3 linked regions of the Saccharomyces cerevisiae S288C genome follow. The protein of the gene in region 2 interacts with the protein of the main gene of each other region in a pairwise test. Each region holds a gene or a part of one and is shown on either strand. Other genes may lie near its edges. The genes, in order: HXT6, ROD1 and JEN1.

Region 1 (7,070 bases), on a different chromosome or scaffold from region 2:
ATGATCTTAGAATTGTAACTCAGGGAGCATACGAACAAAAGATTATTAGCATTTCGTACTTTCTAAAAGTTGAAGAAGTTGGCATTTGTTGATTTTATCATATCCTTAATAAAAAGTTGACGTCAGCATACAATTTGAAAATAGCAATATCGAATGCCTATTCCTCCTTTCGTTGTTTGAGTTTACCTAATATATCGATGCATTTTTGCAAAAGTGTGGTATTGAGCACGCGGTACTAGAAGGAAAAATCTCTTCTTTTTACTACGTGTCCTGCATTTCTATCATGGTGAAGATAATCATTATTTTATGTCAAAAATTACTAGTTAGCTGTCAGAATTTTTTGTTTAAACATTGTTGAATTCCTGTCGCAGGTTAAAGAAATCGAAAAATAGCCAATGAAGTAGACAGAATCATTTGACCAGTTAGGTAAATTACTGTGTCAAATAATTCAACAACGCGTTTCTACGTGGTGGGCAGAAGTCCCTGGAATACTTTAGTGATGGTACACTTTTCGACATTAGAATTGTCTCTGAATTGTCACCCCGCTAATAAGTTATTTGTATGGACGCCAATAAAACCATACAAACGCGGCTTTCTGGTACTGCGTTTAATCTTGCATGAACTTTTCCGTCCATTGGGGCGAATATTCACTGTGCGATGTATACTACCTTTTTAGCTACTGAAGCCACTCTTAAAGCATGATTTTTTTCCTTCCTGCCATCTAAAGGTTACTTACGGCAACCTTTCCATAAATTGTTGCTGAAATAACATATAATAGTACCAAATGGGCCTATCAATAAGTTTACAGCCTACAAGATTTTCTTCCACTAAAATATATTCGAATAGGACTTTGGCCAAAAACTGTTCATTAAGGGGCAGACTGTTCATGTTTTCTCGCAAATTACCTTTTTAACAAGGTGAAATTATTTTTTTTGGGGAATGCTAACTGTTTATCATCTGCCAGGAAAGAAAACTTAGATCCTCTTTACCAATCGCCGCCAGTAGTACATCATTTCTTATTAAATAAAAACATTTTCATATCATTAACCCTTTTTCAAACATATATGGGATGTAGTTTGCCAAGGATGATCATAAAGGCCTAATATGATCCCCATTTTCTTTTTATTACCAAAAATTCAGGTTTATTGACAAGCCTTCTCTACTCTGTCGCAATGCCAGTTTAACATTGAGGAGTTTAGTAGCTTCATTGTAATGAGGTGACTCTATTTAATTTCAGGTAGAAAAGCGCAGTACCGAGGTGAGCCCTGCATATGTACACTGATTGTGAAAAGCTCCGGCTCATAATTAATTTTTTTGATGAATTATAGAGTACTTTGTTTATAATAGAAGACTTTTTTTTTCCTCCTAAGGTAGCTTATGCGAGAAAGAGCGCCTACTTCGCTTCTAGCGCTACAAAACAATAACTTTGAAGGGTAAAGCTGTTAACTTTTCTTCAAAGCTTAGAAAAGAAAAAAAATTAATAAAAAATTATACTTCTATTGGCAACATCTTGCCATACAATATAAATCGTAAGGGTTCATTAAAAATATAAAATCAGAATTAGAGTGCATTTCAAATGCACAAATTAGAGCGTGATCATGAATTAATAAAAATGTTCGCAAATTATTTGGTGCTGAACATTCTCTTGTACAATGGCTTATCATCGTGAGCCATTTCTTCAGCGTCGTAGTTGGCACCTCTTCTAGATGGTGGAACCCATGAGGCAGACTTCCATGGTAGAACACCTTCTTCCCACATGGTGTTGACTTCTTCCAAAGTCAAACCCTTAGTTTCTGGAACAACTAACAAAACATAGAAGAACATGAAGACCAAACAGCCCATGAAAACGTAACCGTAGTAGAAGTTAATAGCACCAGTAATAAATGGAGTGAAGAAACCAATCAAGAAACCCCACAACCAATTAGCAGCTGTAGCAATAGACATAGCCTTAGACTTGACTCTCAATGGGAAAGTTTCAGAAACAACGACATAAGGAATTGGAGCCCATGTAGTAGCAAAACAGAAAATATAGAAACAGGCAAAGACAATCATACAGTTACCAGCACCCTTGGAAGATGGTTGGTCTTGACCATTTGGCCATAATCTGGTGACACCCACGGAAGCATAGACAACCATACAAGCAGTCATGGATGCAGCACCCCATAGCAAACAAGTACGACGACCATATCTCTCAACAACGTAAATACCAACAAAGGTGGAAGCAAAGTTAACAATACCCAAGACAATAGAGGTTTCGAAAGAGTCACTCAAACCAACAGCCTTGAAAATAGTAGTACCATAGTAGAAGAAATAGTTATCACCTGTCAATTGTTGTAGAGATTGAATCATAGCACCCATGATCAAACGCTGAAGGACCTTTGTCTTGCTACTAAACAATTCACCCCAGGATGCATTACCAGCTAATTTCTCTGCCTCTACACCAGCCAAGACAGCTTCGACTTCAGCCAAAACAGATGGATCATCAACAGCAACCTTGTTAGAAACGGCAATAGAACGTTTGGCTTCTTCGATCTTACCGACTTCAGCCAAATAACGTGGAGACTCTGGAACAAATGTCATACCACCAATCATAAACAAAGCCCAGGCAAAACACAAACCTAATGGAACTCTCCATTGCACAGAGTTGGAGTAGTTCTTAGTACCGAAGTTGGTACAGTAACCCAAGAAAATACCGGCAGTAATCATCAATTGGTAGCAAGAGACTAAAGTACCCCTTAAATGCTTTGGGGATACTTCAGAAATCAACATAGGAGATAAAACGGCAATACCACCAACACCCAAACCGGAAATAATTCTACCGATGAAATATTGGTACCATTTGTTGATAGATGCAATTTGAATAATAATACCGATGATGTAGATGACAACAACGACAATCAAACCCACCTTACGACCGTACATATCACCCAATTTGGAAAGAATAATACCACCAATGGCACAACCAATGTTGAAAATGGAGACAATCAAACCAGTTCTAACCTTAGACAAATAATTAGTACCATCTTTATGCTTCATACCAAATCTTCTGATGAAATCGGTTTGATTGATGAAACCAGAAATGGTACCAGTATCCCAACCGAAAACGAAACCACCAAAGGCGATCATGATACACATAATAGAGACAGTGACATAGGCAGAAGCTGGTCTCTTTGGAATTTCAACGACAGGTTCGTGCTCTTCACCTTCACCATAAGCTTTTATTTCATCTCTTTCAGCCTTGTTTGATGGTGTAGATAAAACCGAGTGGGAGGCTGAGTCAACAGCAGAGAGATGCTCCACAGGAGTTTGCTCTGCAATAGCAGCGTCTTGTGACATTTTTTGATTAAAATTAAAAAAACTTTTTGTTTTTGTGTTTATTCTTTGTTCTTAGAAAAGACAAGTTGAGCTTGTTTGTTCTTGTTTTTTTATTATTAAAACAGAAAAATTGGAAAAAAGAAGAAGATAGTTACAAACCATATGTCTTTTCTCGAGCTCTTTTTATATGTTTCTGTGCTTTCTATATTGTATACCCATTTGCTCTCCATTGTCTGCAAGCCAAAATCTGCATACAGATCCGAGACATCTCTTGGATTTTTTTCAATGAAGGCACGGAGGGCATCTGAATAATCTCAATGAGTAAGAAACGAAATTTTTTAAGGAACATTTTCAATTTGCCTACGGACTATTCTCTGCAAAGTTCCAATAATTTCTCCTTTTTTTCCAGCGTTTAAAGGAAAAAAACTGGTTTTCGATGCCGGGGCCCCACAATGTACCTGCACTTTTTGTGGGGTAAACGTGGATAAAACGAATCTCCGTTGCCTAAAAAACATTTTTTTTCGTACGGTCCCCTCTGCGTTCAGGAAAAAAAGAGATCGGGTGGTGAGGCTAGGTAGCGTAGCCCCTTGGAGAAGCATATGAAACATTTGTCTTGGCGCCGCACACAGGAACTGCGCACTTCTTTTTGTCCTAGGTTGCTTATCACACCATATGGTGCACCCGTGCTCGTTGTCACTGCCTTTTTTTAACAATTCTTCCTTTGTTCCTCTGAAAGCACGGGCCGGCGCACTCCAATTACCCCTACATTAATTTCCAAGTAGTAGCAGGGGGATGAACATGTGAACATGTTGCAACAACTGCGGTGTCTTCTTAGGCTTGTGTTCGGAATTTCTTCCTCCTGTTTCGGTGTGTGTTGCTTATTTTTTCCTTGCCCCTTTGCGGCATCACAGCAGCCGTTGTTCCGTATTCCGGCTGATAAGCATGGAAAGATTTTCCAACAATACTCATGAAAAAATGTGTTGGTGTCTGAGTAAGCTAAATTTTCCCAAATTTGATGCCATTCAACCCGAAAACTTAAAATGTAAAAGGGGTTGAGATAGTGCAGCTGTGTGGCAAAAGTCAAAAAAAATCTGTTCCTTTCAAGGAAATGAAAAAAGGAAGGAAAAAATGTCCAGGACAGAAAGGCCATCCCCTTAGTAAAGAAACCTGCTTAGAGATTCTTGAGGCTCGAAAATGGTTGGTGGTTGGACTTCTTTTGAGTTTTCCGTCCGGATTTCAAACGAAATCCATCATCACGTTCCTAGCAACAAGAGGATTATTGGACGATTGTCGGGAGTAAAGATTACTCAGTTGGTTTTCTAACTCTACTGCGCACTTCTTCGTGGGTATAACAAATTGCACACACATACATTCTTATTATTTGATACTGCTTACGATAACCGGAGACTTCTTTTTTTTCCTGTTCGGCTCTCGCCGATGGTATGAAGTTAAATGGTAGAAAAATTGTTTGTTTTGTTTACAAACTGGATCAAGAAATGTTAAAATTCTGTTTGATATCATGTACCAATGTCTTTTATTAACTGTATCAGAGAATTATATATATAAAGTCATAAATCTTGTGTATTATTTATCATTATTGACTAGCACATCGAATCTTAAAATACACTATTATTCAGCACTACGGTTTAGCGTGAAATTATTTCTTGCCGAACATTTTCTTGTAGAATGGCTGGTCATCATGCATCAATGCATCAGCATCGTAGTTAGCACCTCTTTGAGATGTTGGAACCCATGAAGCAGACTTCCATGGTAGAACACCTTCAGCGTACATATCATTGACTTCTTCCAAAGTCAAACCCTTAGTTTCTGGCACAAAGAAGAAAACGTAGAAGTAGGCGAAAACCATACAGCCCATGAAAACGTAACCGTAGTAGAAGTTAATAGCACCAGTAATAAATGGAGTGAAGAAACCAATCAAGAAACCCCACAACCAATTAGCAGCTGTAGCAATAGACATAGCCTTAGACTTGACTCTCAATGGGAAAGTTTCAGAAATAACAACATAAGCAATTGGAGCCCAAGTGGTAGCAAAACAGAAAATATAGAAACAGGCAAAGACAATCATACAGTTACCAGCACCCTTGGATGAACCATTACCTTCACCATTTGGCCATAGTCTGGTGACACCAACAGAAGCGTAAACTACATAACAGCAGACCATACCAATGGCACCATATAACAAACAGTTACGACGTCCAAAACGATCGACAGTGTACAAAGAACAACAAGTAGAGAAGAAGTTGACGACACCGAAAACAATAGAAGTTTCGAAAGAATCACTCATACCAACAGCGTTAAAAACGGTAGTACCATAGTAGAAGAAATAGTTATCACCAGTCAATTGTTGTAGAGATTGGATCATGATACCCATCATAGTACGCTTAAACATGGCCGGCTTACCAGTGAACAACTCACCCCATGATGCTGAACCAGCAGCTCTAGCTTCTTCAACACTAGCTTCAATAACTTCCAACTCTTGTTGAATGAATGGATGGTCTGGGGCAACCTTGTTAACTTTGGAAAGAGATGCTCTTGCTTCGTCAATTTGACCAGCTTCAACCAAATAACGTGGGGATTCTGGAACGAAAGTCATACCACCGATCATAAACAAAGCCCAGGCAAAACACAAACCTAATGGAACTCTCCATTGCACAGAGTTGGAGTAGTTCTTAGTACCGAAGTTGGTACAGTAACCCAAGAAAATACCCAAGGTAATCATCAGTTGGTAACAGGAGACTAAAGTACCTCTCATTTCCTTAGGAGCGACTTCAGAAATCAACATAGGAGATAAAACGGCAATACCACCAACACCCAAACCGGAAATAATTCTACCGATGAAATATTGGTACCATTTGTTGATGGATGCAATTTGAATAATAATACCGATGATGTAGATAACAACAACGACAATCAAACCCATTTTACGACCGTACATATCACCCAATTTAGCCAAAATAATACCACCAATGGCACAACCAATGTTGAAAATGGAGACAATTAAACCAGTTCTAACCTTAGACAAATAATAACTACCATCTTTATGCTTCATACCGAATCTTCTCAAGAAATCAGTTTGGGCGACGAAACCAGAAATGGTACCAGTATCCCAACCGAAAACGAAACCACCGAAGGCAACCATAACACAACAGATAGACACAGTGACATATGCACCTTTACCTGTATTTGGGTTGGTAAGTACTTGGTCGGCCTCAGCTTGGAAATCATCTTGAACACCTTTTTCTTCAGGCATGTTCATTACCTGAGAGCTATTCGAAGGCAGGTCAGCATTCGAATTCTCACTTGACTTTTGTGGAGATATTAAATCTGGAGTTGAATTCATGATTGTTTAACTCAGATGTAAATTTTGTTTGTGATTCTATTATTTATGAAAAGCTATTAAGTAAAATTATGGAATATTCATGCTGAAGATAAAACAGCGCCTGTATTTATATGCAACCCCCAAGCGAAAAAAAACTTTGACTTTTCTTCTCTTCTGGAGAAATTCTCTGGGGATATAGTCCCCAGATTTTTTGAGTGGGCCCCCAATGTCCCACATCGTTATTGAGTTGTTTCTTTCTCCAGAAGGTCGTTGTACAGTCATTATAATGGCGGTCAGTATAATGACCTCCGGAAATACCAACATCGGGGAAAGCGGAAAATCTGGAAAAATTCTCCACGAAGCTTTCTCTGTGATAATCCGCGACCGAGAGTTTAACCGAATCCGCGGAACGAGA
Region 2 (7,805 bases):
GAATGTATCTCTCAAATAATATTGCAAATTTGGCGAAAAAGAGTCTGTTTCATCGTCATAGCACTCTTCCATCGTGTAATAGTTGGGAACAGGTACACCTTTGAATCCTTCCCTGCTGTCGTCTATAGAAGAATAACCAGCGGTGGAAGGCACTGTGTCAAAGGCAACAGATGGTTGGAAACTGCCTTTCTTTTTGGCCCGTTTTTTAAGGTTTTGTTCATTTCTCTCTTCGAATTGTTGTCCTGGAACATCGAATGTGAGGCTTCTGTAGCATTTTTGCAAGTCATTTTGTGGGCAAACAGAAATCATAATAATTTAAGGTTGACTTGCCAAAAGGGTGCGTGATCTATAGCAAGTTGAATATTAAAAGCCTTTTTAATGAGGAGTCCTTATTTTAATACGTGTTGGATTCGATGTCCTTTCTTTCTGGTCCTATGCATTAGTGTGGATGGTAACGAGACATGAACCCAGAAGGATATATATGTATCTATCTGCAAATCATATTGCTACTAATAATGGTAGATTGCCATTCACAAAAAAGCCGCCCCTCATAAAACTCAGCCGCGCAAGCTTTGAAAAGGGGCGAGCGGCTGAAACAGAACGGTCTTCTAGAAGGCTGATTCAGCAGTAATTAAGACAAAAGCAGTACTACCAGCAAGAACATAGGAGGTGATTGAGTTATTAATTGAGGTACATCTGAATTGCAAGAACTCTAAATATTTTCTTTTGCGATGAAAAACTGATGCTTGTGTGATTAACATATAACGTAATTCATTGAGAGAAAAGAGCAGCTGTGCTCGAGATCAATGAGTTGACTATAAAAATAGCAATTTCCGTAGGATCGCAAAGTTGGCTAACCGTATAAAATGGGAGGATATATACGAATGATGTCTGTGGGATCTTTAACATTTAATTAGAAAATTTTGTAGTGCCAATAATTGTTGAGGAAGAAGTGCCAAGTAAAGAAAAACAGATCTTCTGAAGCTCATTGTATTCTCATTATATTCTCTCAAAAATACGTTCGTATAACTGATTAATCCTGTTTTTCTAATCACTATTTTAATGTTTCAATTGAGGGATTTTGCCTTCATACAATTGTTGAGAGAAATTTTCCAACAAGTATGGGAAATATGAGCAATTCTTATCTTTTAAAAACAAGAACTGGTCCGATATTATTCACCTCAAACATATTGGACGAGATCATTTTTAAAACGTTAGGGGTGGGGAGGATATCAATAAGTTTTCATAATTATGTTAACCTTCAAGCCATAAAACCGAGTAAGACCACTTAACAAAATCTATGAGAAGCCTTGCGGCAGAATCTGACAACTTCAGTGAAATTTTTTTGTGATTATAGAAGCATAAACTACAACGCCGAATTGTTTTACTTTATAGCAATTATGAGGTAGTATTATAACATTATATTATCATTTTTCAAGTGGTATGAGGTATGAAAGTACTCTATCAAAGTATATATGCTTAACTGTACAAACGTGTATGAAGTATTGCTCATATCTTTTTGTCGAAATTTCGAAGACAAAAAATAAAGCAGTCTATGAGCGATCCCGTTTTGTGAACATCTCCATTAAATTAGCAAATGAACCTGTTCCTTGTCTTAATGGTGAGTTGCTATTGTTGCTCCGAACTGACGATGAGCGTGACCTTCGATTGTGGGTTGCGCTCGTATAGTTTTCCTCTTCTCTTGGCTTATTAGCGTCAGATGTAGAATCAGTTTTATCAAAATGTGAATTGTTCTTGGAACTTGAATTACTAGTGAAAGATGTTGTCATATTAAACGGAAAATGTCTGCTTCCTGTGCTGCTTTTTGCTGAAGTGAAAGAGAGATTTAGATTAAATGAACTATCTGTGTTGTTTCTCGCCAACTGCTGCAATGATACTGAGGATCCGCTATTATTCCTTGGTAATGGAGAGTGGGATAAATGTGTCCTACTAGACGATCTTTTCAGATTATTGGAACTCTTGCTCGAGCCTGGAAGTGGCAACAAAGAGGATGTAGACTTGTGATGAAGAATTTGTGGCCTTTCTAGTTCAATTTTTTTATTTTCTTGAACTCCAAGTTCTTCCTCGGGATAAGCCGGTGGAAGATCCTCACCAATCATATCAGATTTCATTGCTTTATCATACGAGGGAACTCTGCTTAAATCTGTCAGTTCCAAATCGTTCTTCAGCGATGTAGAAGATGTTTGGCGACTATATGAGTTACGCCTAGATAAATGTGCAAAGCTTGGTGTCAGTGAAGGACTATTCAATCCAGCATTAATGATGTTATTATATCTATTTGCAGAAGGAGAGTTATTGTTCCAATTTTCACTAATTGTTAGATTACTATTAACCAGATTCAGGTTACTATTGTTAACGCTGTCCCCTCGAGAGTCACAATTATTTAGGCTATCATCTTCAATCTTGATTTGAGGATTTGGTGCCAAAATAGGATTATTGCTATTGTTACTATCCGATATATATAGGTTTTGAATATTGTGAATTGCCTGTGATTCGACGGCACTTGAAGAAGCTGATGCTGAAGTTTCGTCTTCATTAGTTACCTCGCCATACACTCGATCGTAAACGTGATTGCCGTAGTTGGGAGGTACCATCAAACTAGTTACCATAGTTGTGTCAGCGACTGCGGTAGCCTCTGCATCAGTACTATTGATATTTAAAGTAGAGCCAGATACTATGGTTGGCATTGAAGACAATTGTAACGCAGAAGCAGATCTTTGAAAAATCACATCTTCTTCACTATCGTCTACAAAGTTTTTGCTGCTGAATGAATTATCGTGCTGACTTGTTACTTGATATGAGGGTCCAAACGTTTTGAGCGTTCTTTCAATAACATCGGAGGTCTTTACATTGACTGGAACAAACGGTGAAATGAATAATTGGACAGGCAGTGCCGCACGCAATTCTGAAATATGACCGTCCGGATTGAGTAAACTTATAGTGAACTTGATCTTATGACGGACTTTGATATTAGATAAAATGCGACAGTCTTGGGAGCATTTAGTCAGGCTTGCAGGTATGTTTAATAAAGCTCGAACTTCCCATTTATCTTGAAATTCCCCTGTGTCCGTATCAACCCCTTCGTCGGCAGCTTCATTTAGGCTCCTCTTCTTCTTTATTTGGGCAACGTGCTTCAGGGGATCTTTTAGTTTTAATTTAGCCACCATTCTTTCTTGGTTGATAACCCCTCCATAGCTACCACAATACTGGGAATTTTCCACCAAACTGATCCTAACAGGGCCTAACTTCAATCCTTTTAATATAGGAACAATTAAAATATTGATCATGGTGGAAGAGCCAATGGCAATTGCCTTAGTTGGAATGGAGATCGTATAATCGACTTTTTCAGGCCATGAGTTATCCACTGATACTGTTTCAGATAACTCGACTGCATCTATAGCTAACGTTCGAATAACTCTTAGATGTTTTTTACAGATCAAGTCGGGCTGCTTAGGTCTCTCGATAGTAGCTTCCAGAGCATAAGTGACGGCAGCATTTGGTAGGCCTTCTACACTTTCCACTAATGACCCAGGAATAATCGCGCTGAAAGGGAATTCGTAGTTACCTTTTACTAAGGTGTGATAGTTTTTGCTTGCGCTTGTCTGCCCATTACTTGATATCAATGATGCAGTAGAAAGGGCTCTTTTTCTCTTTGGCAATGCTGCTAAATTTGTTGAGGATTTACTAGAAATTGTTATTTTACCATTATTATGATTATCGTACAAGTTTTGGAAATAACTTTTTATATTAAAATCATCCCAAAAATGAGAATATATGTTTCTCTCAAACTTTGAGTATCGCTTATGCGGCCCATGAACAGTTTGTAAAACCGTTGGAATATTTAGTCTCAACCTACCAAAAAGTCTCAAAGCCAAAGACTTGATTTGAATTGGCTCAGTAATTGACAATACTATAGTTCCAGATAGTAGGACAGAAGATGCCTCATCAGGGGGGCCTTTTATCAGTAAAACATCATTGTCCAAATTTCTAAGTCTGATGTCAAATAGTAATGGCTCTTTTGAAGGTCGAGATGATGATGAAAACATTATTACTTATGGAGGAAGAGAAGCGAATGGTGTGATGAAATCGCGTTGATTTCTGTATGGTTGTTAATTAGTTTTAGATCTGCATCTTTTTGACGTCTATATTTGAATAGGGGACCCCTGTTCTGTTTTTTTCGCTTAATAAAAAAACGCTGAAAATTGCAAGAGCCCAGCCATACAAAATAATTTATAAAAACTGTGAACAGGAAGCTTCTCAGTTTTTATCGGAGAACCCATCTCTGGGGTTAGACATTCATCCGCATTAAAACTCCTATTTTTACTCGTAGTTTTCGGTCTTCAAAATAAAGCAGATTCCTTAAAGTTAGATGCTTTTATTCAACTTAATCAGTAATGTAACATAATATGTACCAAGGGACTCGACTCTTTTTGACCCATTGTTTAATTAATATGTGTTATAATTACAAGAATAATGCATTGTATGGACATATCTAAAAATACATAGAATAATTACATAAGGTCGAAAGTTGTGAGTGAATACATTAAAGTAGTAAAACTTCACCTATAACATTAGATTGCCCAACGCTGACTACTGTCTTCTAGATATGGAACTTGTTACTCCTTTCTAATAGTTTTCTTCGAAGGGCACCTTTTTTAGCATATGCGCGCAGTTTAGTTTGCAGTCGGGTAGGGCCAAAATTAGAATATCTTTTGTTACTTCCATTATCGCGGTGATCATTGCGGGCTTGTAGTGATTTGATTCGATTCATAATTTCATCCTTTTTAGACATATCAGGTTCCTGACGTGTGATTACTTGATTTTTCAATGCGTTTAATTTAACATCCAAATATTTAAAGTATAGTTTTCGTAAAATTTGTTTGTCATTGATATCTGTAAAAGTAGAGTTCACCTCCCAAGTGGAAACATCGGAAGCGTGGAAAAAGTTTGGAGTCTGTGTAGATGGTATATCTTTGTACCAGTCTCGTTTCATCATGTCAGAAATATATTTACGGGATTCGGTGTCGAGAATATCGTTCTTTTTTAAAGCAAAATCAGGTAGATGTGTAGTATTAGGATGATGGTGATAGAAATGCTTGACATTTACTTTAAATCCAACTAAGGAATTCAGGTGTTCCTCCAAAAGATTTTCGTTATATGAGCGGAGGTTTAGTAGCTCCTCTGTTAATTGTTCGTTCGAAGTATCCTTTACCAATAAAGATTTATCCTCGTACTCAGGTGACAACGGCAGGGCTACAATATTTAGCACCGGTTCGTTAAAGAAGCGGCCACTTTTGGATCGTTTTTCTTCAACTTCGGTTTTAAGCATTATTTTGCATTTTTCCCATTTCGTATTACTTGAGTTAAGTAACTGCTCAACGTGTTTCAAAATATTACTGAACAGATTCATAGACATCTTAAATTCCCTATTAGCCACCAAGCAAGCAATTTTCCTATCGTCCCTGTCATAGTGTAGAATGTAGTCCTCCTCACCATATATCCCTTTTGTGATATCATTCTTCTCCTTTAACAAACTGTCGAATTTGCTGTTATACGAAGAATGGATTATATAATCTAATTCGTCCAAAGGTAGATATTGGAATCCAAACATCTTAGAAATATTGTGGTATGCAACGAAAATACCGTCCATTTTGCCAATTCTAGCTTGCAAAGAATACTTTAGAAGGGCAGACCTGATTAGTTCAAAATATTCTCTTTCCAAAGACTCAAATTCCCCATAAACTTTATCTATCTCATATCCAGTTTGGTTGTTATTACTCTCTACATGTGATAAATCGTATCTTATGGCAGAAACTGCTCTTGTCTTCAGATCAAATACACCCGTTCCAGGTAGATTTGGGTCGTACGCGTCCAATTGAGATCTCACAATGAATTCATCTATACTAGAATAGTGATAATTTTCACTTTTTGAACTATTCTTCAGGGACTTTTCCGTTAAAAAGTCTTCAAGATAATGACCTAGTACAGAAAGCACAATCTCCCTATCCAGACTTCTATCTGAATCAATAGAACAAATGCCATTTCTCTTCTTTCTCAGAATGACTGCTGACGGAAAATATGCACTTTCTGAATAATTGCAGTTTTTTTGAGGAAAATTTTTCGATATCGAGGAATCAATGATATTCAATCTTCTGAAATTGGATAATAAATAGTGCAACTGAGAAAGTACTGATGTCATGGAACTTGATGAAGATATGTACTTTTTTCTATGTTCTTTGGCAACCTTTAACAGAGATTCATCTTTGTGGGGTGTGATGAATATTGGCTTGCTTTGTCCTTCTCCAGAGGAGTCTGTGTTCACATCTTTTTCACTTTTCTTTTCCAAATACTCTGGATTAATATTTTCCACTGCAGGGTCAAAATTATACATTCTGCTCCTATTATCTCTCAATTTTTGTAGCGACAACGGTTGGTATAACACTCTCGTTAATCCATGACCAATCCTAGGAGGCTTTTGGTTGTGTTTTTGAACACCATCTTGATTGTAACGTACTAATGCGTGCCTAATCTTCTGGACATTTATCCGAAAAGTGTATGAATTGCTATCTGAATATGTTCTGCTAGCGGGATATGTTCTCCTAGCGGGATATGTTCTCCTACCAGGATATGTTCTTCTACCAGGATACGTTCCTACCTTTGTCCGCTCCAAATACTTATCATGTCTATACTCCTTCTTTATATTTGTTTTCAGTAGATTAATCGCCTTGTCCATTTCTTCCGTATATTTTTGTCGACCTCCCTTTTCCTTGTTTCCAATGTCCTCTACAGTCGAATTTGTGTCATATATTTCATCGACCATCTCTAAAGCACTATGCAGGTCAGAACGTAGCTTGTCTGGTGTTTCTCTTCCACTAGGGGCATTTGTGAGAGCAGCGCCAAAGTGATAAATCGATCGCTGTTGATAGCTTTTAGCGGCGCTACCTATTCTGCAAGGCTCAACAGATAGACGTCTGGACAGGAATCTACAGTTGTAGAACCCCATTATCAAAACTATAAAAGTATCAGGTAGCGTTTGGCTCTTTTTTGTGCTCTCTCAAGTGCCCTGTTTATATTATATTTTTACATATTTGTTTCTTTATTAACCAACGGCATTGACGGAAACGCGCTTTATTATGGACTACTTTTTTTTCACTGTTTCCTGTTTTTTGACGTGATATACTCAAAGATGAGCGATTGACGATCTGAGAATTCTATTTGGGAACTCTTCTCTGCTTTGAAGACATTTATTTCCCAGCTGCCTTTGAAGTAGTTTCACGAGCGCTAGTGAAGTTTTTTCATAAATATATATTCCCAATCATCGCTAGGAATTATGCGCGTTTTTACTTTGATTGCGATTTTGTTTAGTTCATCTTTGTTAACACATGCATTCTCCTCTAATTATGCTCCTGTAGGCATATCATTACCTGCTTTTACCAAAGAATGTCTTTACTATGATTTATCCTCTGATAAAGATGTCCTTGTGGTCAGTTACCAAGTTTTGACAGGTGGGAATTTCGAGATAGACTTCGATATTACCGCCCCTGATGGCTCTGTTATCGTCACTGAAAGACAAAAGAAGCATTCTGATTTTCTACTGAAGTCGTTTGGTATAGGTAAGTACACTTTCTGTTTGAGTAATAACTACGGCACTTCCCCAAAGAAAGTTGAAATCACCCTCGAAAAGGAAAAGGAAATTGTTTCTTCCCATGAAAGCAAAGAGGACATAATCGCAAACAACGCCATCGAGGAAATTGATAGGAACCTGAATAAGATCACCAAAACAA
Region 3 (7,499 bases), on a different chromosome or scaffold from region 2:
ACCTGTACCGATAACTTTGATTTCAGGTCTCAAACGAGTGTAAAATGCACGAACATTGGCGAGCGCGGTTGGCTTAACATATTCACCTCCAATACCCCCGAAACCATTCTTTGGCTTCACTACTACACTCTCCTTCTCCACATCAATGAAAAGACCATTTCCTATACTATTGATAGAGTTGACATAAGCTAATGGGAACTCGTTCAATATTTTTGCCATGATATCAAAATGGGCAAAATCAAAATAAGGAGGCAACTTGACACCAAGAGGTTTTTTGAAAAAGGCAAAAACCTTTTCCAAGGTTTCCTTTGTCAAGTCAAAGTCATAAGCAACTTGTGGTTTCCCAGGCACATTAGGACAAGACAAGTTTAACTCGGTAATACCGTTGAATTCGCTATCTTGGATTTTCCTCAACAAATTTAAATTTTCATCAATGCTCATACCAGCAACTGAGAAGAAAATAGCAGGTGCATCAGGATAATTCTTTTGACGGTTTAATACATAGGACAAATAGTAGTCGATACCTTCGTTTGGTAAACCCATGGAGTTGATACTGCCTAGAGGGACAGAAATGTAACGTGGTTCAGGGTTACCTTCTCTTTCTAAGGTTGTAGCACTCTTTGTAATGAATGCGCCAGCTTTAGAGTTTGCTAATTCATCTAATTCTTGTGTAGTCATGCAATGAACACCGGATGCATTCATAAATGGGTTTTCATAGGTATTGTTCAAGAACTTGGTAGTTAAACTGGCTGTCATGTTTGGTACGGAAGTTCAATTTTTTTTTGAGTAATTGTGTATATCTATTTGAAACGTCTAGTAGTCCAAACTGTGTAATCCAAGAGAAGAATACCGGTTCCCGATGCGTATGCCATGCCATATATAAAGCTTTTTTTATTTTTTGGTGATGGGCATCTTGAAAAATTTTCGGCGAATGCCGAAGATCGTGAAATAACCTTCGGCAAAGCCCGGTGAAGAAAATGGCTTCAAGAACATATTAGTGAGAAAAAGTAGGCTGTAGTGGCTGAAGGATAACATTTAGTAAAATCACCAAATCTAAAGTAGAGTAAATATCTAATAAAAAAGGCTAGAATTGTTTCGAAGTTTATCGTCCGATCTTATTACATGGGGAATACACTATTTAGGGTGGGAAGATACCAGATTGACTTGGATCCAAGGTTAGGGAATGACCTCAAGAGGAAAAAGCGACATCTGTAAGATCGAGGATGCTCCTTTTCCTTTTTTCCCCAAATGGGCCGCAGCTGTGAAGCATATCGTTATCATATACTGCATTTTTCTGCTATCGTTCTATGGATGCGATACGTAATATCTTGATACTTACTTCCTTCTGCAAGATTTCTATGGTAAAAAAGCTTATGTAGTGAAACCTGCACAGGCCGAGCTTTGATTGTGTATAAGCATACATCCCCCTTCAAAGGTGAAAAGTAATGTCGAAGTATATGGCTATCCAGCCGCACACTGTCCTCAGGGCCCATTCAGTGCAAGAACCAAAATGCTATATTTCTGAACGGCCTAAAATGAATAACGAAATAATTTTTTCCACTTTTACCAATTTGCTGTTCGACTAACATTTCTTTTCTATTACTATTATTGTCTTATAGTGGCAAAAGCAAGCAAAACAATTTAAATTCTTAGACACAGTAATCTACCATCTTGCTAGTGTTAACGGCTGTTATGTTTCTTGCGGCGCTATTTAAATGTACTTACATTCTAATCCCTTCGAGAAAATTAATACAACAAAAATTCTAACTTTAAAGTATGTCGTATATCATGTCTTTTATGTAATGTTATAAAGGCTATAATATGAATATATGTGAAATGCAGTTACATAGAGAAGCGAACACGCCCTAGAGAGCAATGAAAAGTGATTAAACGGTCTCAATATGCTCCTCATATGTCTTTGAGACGTTCGAATCAATCATCTTCACTGAAGCACATTCCGTCTTTTGTTCAACAATGTCACTAATCGAAAGACCATCGGCTTCGTATTCTTCCACTTGGTTTATATATTTCTTCATAACAGGAGAGGACAAATCACGATGGAATTTCTCATGGCCAACAAAAACACAAGCAAATGTGAAGATGAAAACAGAACCAGTCAAGATAGCCATAACTTTGGCATAATCTTCTTTAATCACAGCACCAGAGGCATCTCTTTCTAATGGGTATCTATCAGCTAACTGTGTCTCAATCGTGGAAGCCGCTGCAGAAGCTAGATTACCTAGCTGGTAAGATAAACCGGCAACCAAAGCCCTTGCATCAGCAGGGGCCAACTCTGCAAGGTGAATGGGCAGGATACCCCAGACACCAAAGACACAAAAATATAACATGAAACCGGCACCTAATATAGCCTTTTCGCTTCTCAACATAAATGCAGGGTAGGTGAAGCAACCACCCATTGTGCATGCAATCAATAGGCCTAATCTTCTTCCAGTAACTTCCATGAACTGTCCAAATATCATACCCCCACAAATAGCACCGATGTTGGTAACCACTACAATGACAGTGACAGCATCCTTGGATAGGCCTAATTGGGCACGCAGCATGGTTGGCAACAAGTCTTGAGAAGCATGAGTCAAGTAATTTGGACCCACCAATAAAACAACCAAATATGCGAACAACAACCAGTACTTTTGAACTGTTCTCTTCATGGATACCATCTTTTGTTTAAAGTTGGCTTTTGGTAGAGGCTCGCCACCATTAGCTTTCACTGCGTCACTCAATATTAATTTACGGGCTTTCAAAACCTTGGTGAAGTATTTCGTTTCAGGCCATAACAATCTCCAGAAAATTAGTAGAATTGGTAGAAAAATACTAAACCAAAACAATATTTTCCAGCCATCATCCCTAAAGTAGCCAAAGGCTCTGTAAAAAATGATAGCAAATATGAACCCCATAGCGTAAGCAGAAAAAAATAGACCTGATAGGAACGAACGTGCTTTCACAGGTGCATCTTCAATCGCTGTTGCAGAAGCACATCCGTAAATTCCTCCCATAGCAATACCGGTTATCCACCTTACGCCCAGAAATTTCTCGTATGTGTCACACCATGGAGTACAGAGTTGTGCAATGACAAATAAGAACAAACATGTAATGTACGGCCACTTTCTGGAAGACTTATCTGTCCATAAACCAAATATGACAGCACCTGCTGAACGAACAAATAACACCAATCCCAACCCCCAGGTGATGTCCTTGGTTGGTCTGTCATATAGTTCAGCCAATGGAGCGACTGATACTGAAACGCAAAAGAAGGCCCAAGCCGCAGACAACCACGCAAAATAACCCATAAAAAAATAGTTCCAATTCTGCCATGTCATTTTGCGCAGTTCGGGTATGGGATTGACATTCTCCCAAGAAAACTCGTGGATGTGCAGTAAGGACGTAAATCTCGTTAAAGCATAACTTTTAATGGACGCAGCGCTTAGGTTTGGCTTATCCTCTTCATCTTCCTCATACTCTACACCTTGATCCTGGCTATAAACTCTTTCCAGCAATTCATCATCTCTTGTATCCTGAATTGATTGTGCAGGCAGTGATGGGTTATGGTATAGCTTTTCGTGATCCGGGTTGTAAACTTCCGGCTCATAATTTATAGGGTTACCTTCTCCGTCCACTAGAGGAGGCTCTGCAAATGTACTTGTGTTATAGTATAGTTTTCTGCCAGCAGGTTGTTGCTGTTCACCAGATATTTTCTCATCTGTAATTGACGACGACATATTTTCAGTAGCAGTATTTAATCTCTTTGAGGAAAAACTTTTGAAACTGTTACTCTTCTTCCTTTTAGATCTAAGGGAGAAGGACTAGACAACTTCCAAAACTATTTCTCAACAATGATGTGCAATGTATTTATACATCAAGAGGGTACTTCACTTTGCTGATTTTTTTTTTTTTTTTTTTTTTTTTTTTTTTGGTAAAGGATAGTACCATAGGAGATAGTAAGTGTTACTTAGATCTCCATCCAAATGACCAGGTAACGTTCTAATGCATTATAGTAGAAGGGGGGGCAAAAGACCGTTAAGTGAAGAATTATGGACGTCCGGATGGTGTGCAGAAGCTTACAAACTAACTTCCTGGTGGAGAATAATGGTAGGCTTGGCGGCTCTGAGATGGAGAAATAGTTTCAAGCCGCGCGCTCAATAACTTCCTCGATCACTGACTTTCGCACCCATCTGGGAACGGTACGGCGAATAGTCTTCATTTAATTGGAGCTGATCGAAAATGCTTGCTGCCGCTTCAGCGTGAATGACGCAGGTGCTGCGTTTGTCCTGTGCCTCCTTTTTTTTTTGGAGTCCGTTTGTCGGCTATTAGCTCTTGGGCTCTAACCCCAGGAAAAGGAAAAAGAGAAACACGCCGGTCTAGTGGAGTAAATTGCGGGGTCAGGATCCCGCGCGGATATCGGCCGTTCAAAGGGTGAAAAGAAGAAATCATTGGAGTCGTTGCGAGTCATTCTTTACGAATCTAATTTCTCCAAATTTTTACAGGTATTCTTAGCCGCCCAAGGTAGCATACAATGACCTTCTATTGCAAAAATGTACAGTGGAATGTAAAAACAGTGGGGACAAACCTGTGGAACACTAAGCGTGGGGGTCCATCCACTTAAACTAAATCGTATTGTTTAAAAGTGTGCAAGCATTGCGATAACGTTCGATTAGACTCTGAATGGAAGACAATGAGTTGATTTTGCTACCAGCAAAAAAAATAATTTATAAACACATTATTCTTGCAATATTTTTCATACTGTGCGTTTATACCTTTTGAAAATTATAGATCCATTTATATATTAATTAACATCCGAAACAAAAGGAAAGTGCGAGGACCGGCCCACCCGATGACTAACGGGAAAGTGGACATGATTTGCCATTTGTACGGGTAATATTTACATATTATTTGATGTGCTTCTTTGGATTGTGTGCAATCACTTACTTCACAGTGTCTATGTAAGAGATGTGAGAGTGTAGCTCGGAAGGTGGAGACATCTCCTAGATCTTGTCTGGCTTCGTTGGGGTAGCCATGAGAAGTTTTCCATTCCCCCGGGTCATGCATGCTGCCCGAGTCAAATAGCGTTTAACTTTGACTCGTACGCCATAATAGGTTATGTTTTATCTTTGGTCAGGGACCCCAGTATTGAGAAAGTAACCTAGGGATGCTACGCCCCAGCTTTACTACGTGGATGATACAGTAAGCACATACATATTGACGGCATCTAATCGTTCTAAACGGAAAAATAGGCGCTGATTTGATCCACTTCGGTTAGGTAACCGCTGATGCCAACGATCTAGGGCCCTTCCATTTTAGGAAAAAGGGTATATACTCTGATGCCCTGTCTGGCCGAACATTCGTATATGTGGATGTATCGTGATCCGTTCGTATTCAATAAAAGTGTAACGATCTCATCTCAAGTCAAAAGTGAGAAGGGAATAACTAAAAAAGAAAAACTGATATTTTGACGTGACGTGGTTTATTAGCAAGTATGTTTCAACCATTCTCAGCGTAAACCCTATCACAATAACGTCTCTATGAAAAGTTTAACATTTTGTCTATCTCGGTTCAATCAGTTGAATAGCGAACCTTATAGCAAATAGCATTTTCAATAAAAATGTGACATACAGACTTCCACTTTTCTTGCTTTTCTCATGCTCTGTGTGATGCTACTGTTACCGCGGCACCACATTTTGGCATACGTCGGGACATTGGCGGCTGAATAGATTATACCCGTCGCCCTTTTTTCATCTCTCCTTTTCTTTTTGTCGTAAGCAAATTACAGAATTGAATATTTGAATAACCCTAAAAAAAATGCCACTCCCCTAAAAACAAACCAGATTAAGTTGCAAGAAATAGACTGATTGGAACATACGGGTCCTATTCAGTGCTCAATAAAAATTAAAATAATGTGATCAAACAACCCGAGACTATTCTTGAATTAGCATTAGCCACTATAAATTTTAACATTTTTCAGAGTCTTTCGTGCGGAGACCGTAAATATTAGCATTGACCTTGTCAATGAAGTAATTGTCTTTGATTTTAACCGTGTTAAAGATTTCGCAAAAGAGAAAGCTTGCTGGCTTGGAGCAGTAACTTTTTTTGATTTTTTTTTACAAGCACACATGCTTTTGCCTTTAGAATATTACGGCTCCTCATGTGGATAGTAAAAACTTGACCGTTGCATCTGTTCTCCTTCGAACAAAGAATAAATCGTCTGAAAAATCACATAGAAAAATAATAGAAAAATAAAAAACATAGTAACATATTTTAAAAGAGACCTTTTATTGAAGAAAATTTGGCGATAAAAATGATTATAACATTGAAATGACGAAGAAAAGGACAGTGCCCGAATTCTCGATTCCAATAAAAGGCGAAAAATTACAATCGCCAGCATGTTTGGTACGGGGCGACTCGTGGCATTTTAAAGTACGCTGGCATGTTTAAAGGTATTAGTGTTCTTGGCGTGGAAAGTGCAGGTGTCTCACTTTTTAGAACGAACAAATTCAAACAATATACAACAATCCGCCGAAAACATTCCAGAAATTAAGATTGTTAAGCACTTTTGCTAAGAAAAAAAAAGGGCTCTCCCCTGTGAATTAACTCAAAGGTAGCGTGTTCTGCCTATGCAAGGTGACCGTTTTTGCAGATATTGTAGTGAGATGCTCTACAAAAGGGGTTTCCTAATCTAATCTTTTACCATATCAAAAATGCCCTAATATTATTATTAAAGAGCTATCAAAGCCTGATTCCTTAGGTATATGACTAGTTCCCGAATTAATGGCATTGATTCATTACTTATTTTATTAGGGGGATGATAAAAATAATGATATCTTTTTCTGCAGCGTCATTTAAGTACTGATTGAGACTGACAGTTGTGATAGAGATATTAAGTAGTAGAAACGGTCCATGAATTGTTCTTTGTTAATATTCTTGCTGAGGGAGGCTTTTCTTTTGGGCTGCTATGCTTTCATTCTACTTAAGCAACGAGATAGGAAGCTTCAAAAGGTGAATGGTGAAATGCTGAAGAAGATTTCGTCATTCCAATCCTCGAGAGTGCGACGTAAGTAGTGACTCTAATGAATTTTCTATGCCTCATAAAGCTTGAGGTATATTTATCCATACGCAAATAATACACGATCTAGGATTATTGTAGTATGTTATTGTTTGACAATATCCTTGGACAAGTTCTAATCACTTATATTTCCCAAACATGATTCGTGTATTTTGGCGTTAGAAAACGACGGCAAGTAAGCTCCCAACATTTACTTGACGAGTTTTTTGTCACTATCATCACGCCCTAGAGCCAAGTTATATTTTTATCGTAAATTCTGTAAATTAACAGTCATTCTAAGCAGGTTGTTTTAATATTTACAGGTAACTTGGCTGACTTCTTTTAAATGTGGCTTCTATGACAAAAAAACTGAAAAAAATGACTAATTAGTAAATTCAGCCTCTTATCATAAAATCAGGGTCTATAGGACGGTACGTGAGAAAAA

Evidence for each region.
Region 1: the proteins of ROD1 (region 2) and HXT6 interact in a protein complementation assay, tested with the Saccharomyces cerevisiae proteins (one study listed by BioGRID).
Region 3: the proteins of ROD1 (region 2) and JEN1 interact in a protein complementation assay, tested with the Saccharomyces cerevisiae proteins (one study listed by BioGRID).

What each region holds. Positions count from the first base shown.
Region 1 is NC_001136.10:1,157,985-1,165,054, forward strand, and holds HXT6 (hexose transporter HXT6), read right to left. Parts: upstream 3,337-7,070; coding exon 1,624-3,336; downstream 1-1,623. Other genes in the region: YDR344C (uncharacterized protein), read right to left, coding at 4,022-4,465; hexose transporter HXT3, read right to left, coding at 4,973-6,676. UniProt on the Saccharomyces cerevisiae protein: High-affinity glucose transporter.
Region 2 is NC_001147.6:360,631-368,435, reverse strand, and holds ROD1 (Rod1p), read right to left. Parts: upstream 4,068-7,805; coding exon 1,554-4,067; downstream 1-1,553. Other genes in the region: YOR019W (uncharacterized protein), read right to left, coding at 1-309; PET127 (Pet127p), read right to left, coding at 4,622-7,024; ERP4 (Erp4p), read left to right, coding at 7,352-7,805. UniProt on the Saccharomyces cerevisiae protein: Mediates resistance to o-dinitrobenzene, calcium and zinc.
Region 3 is NC_001143.9:18,472-25,970, reverse strand, and holds JEN1 (monocarboxylate/H+ symporter), read right to left. Parts: upstream 3,738-7,499; coding exon 1,887-3,737; downstream 1-1,886. Other genes in the region: URA1 (dihydroorotate dehydrogenase), read right to left, coding at 1-756. UniProt on the Saccharomyces cerevisiae protein: Essential to lactate transport.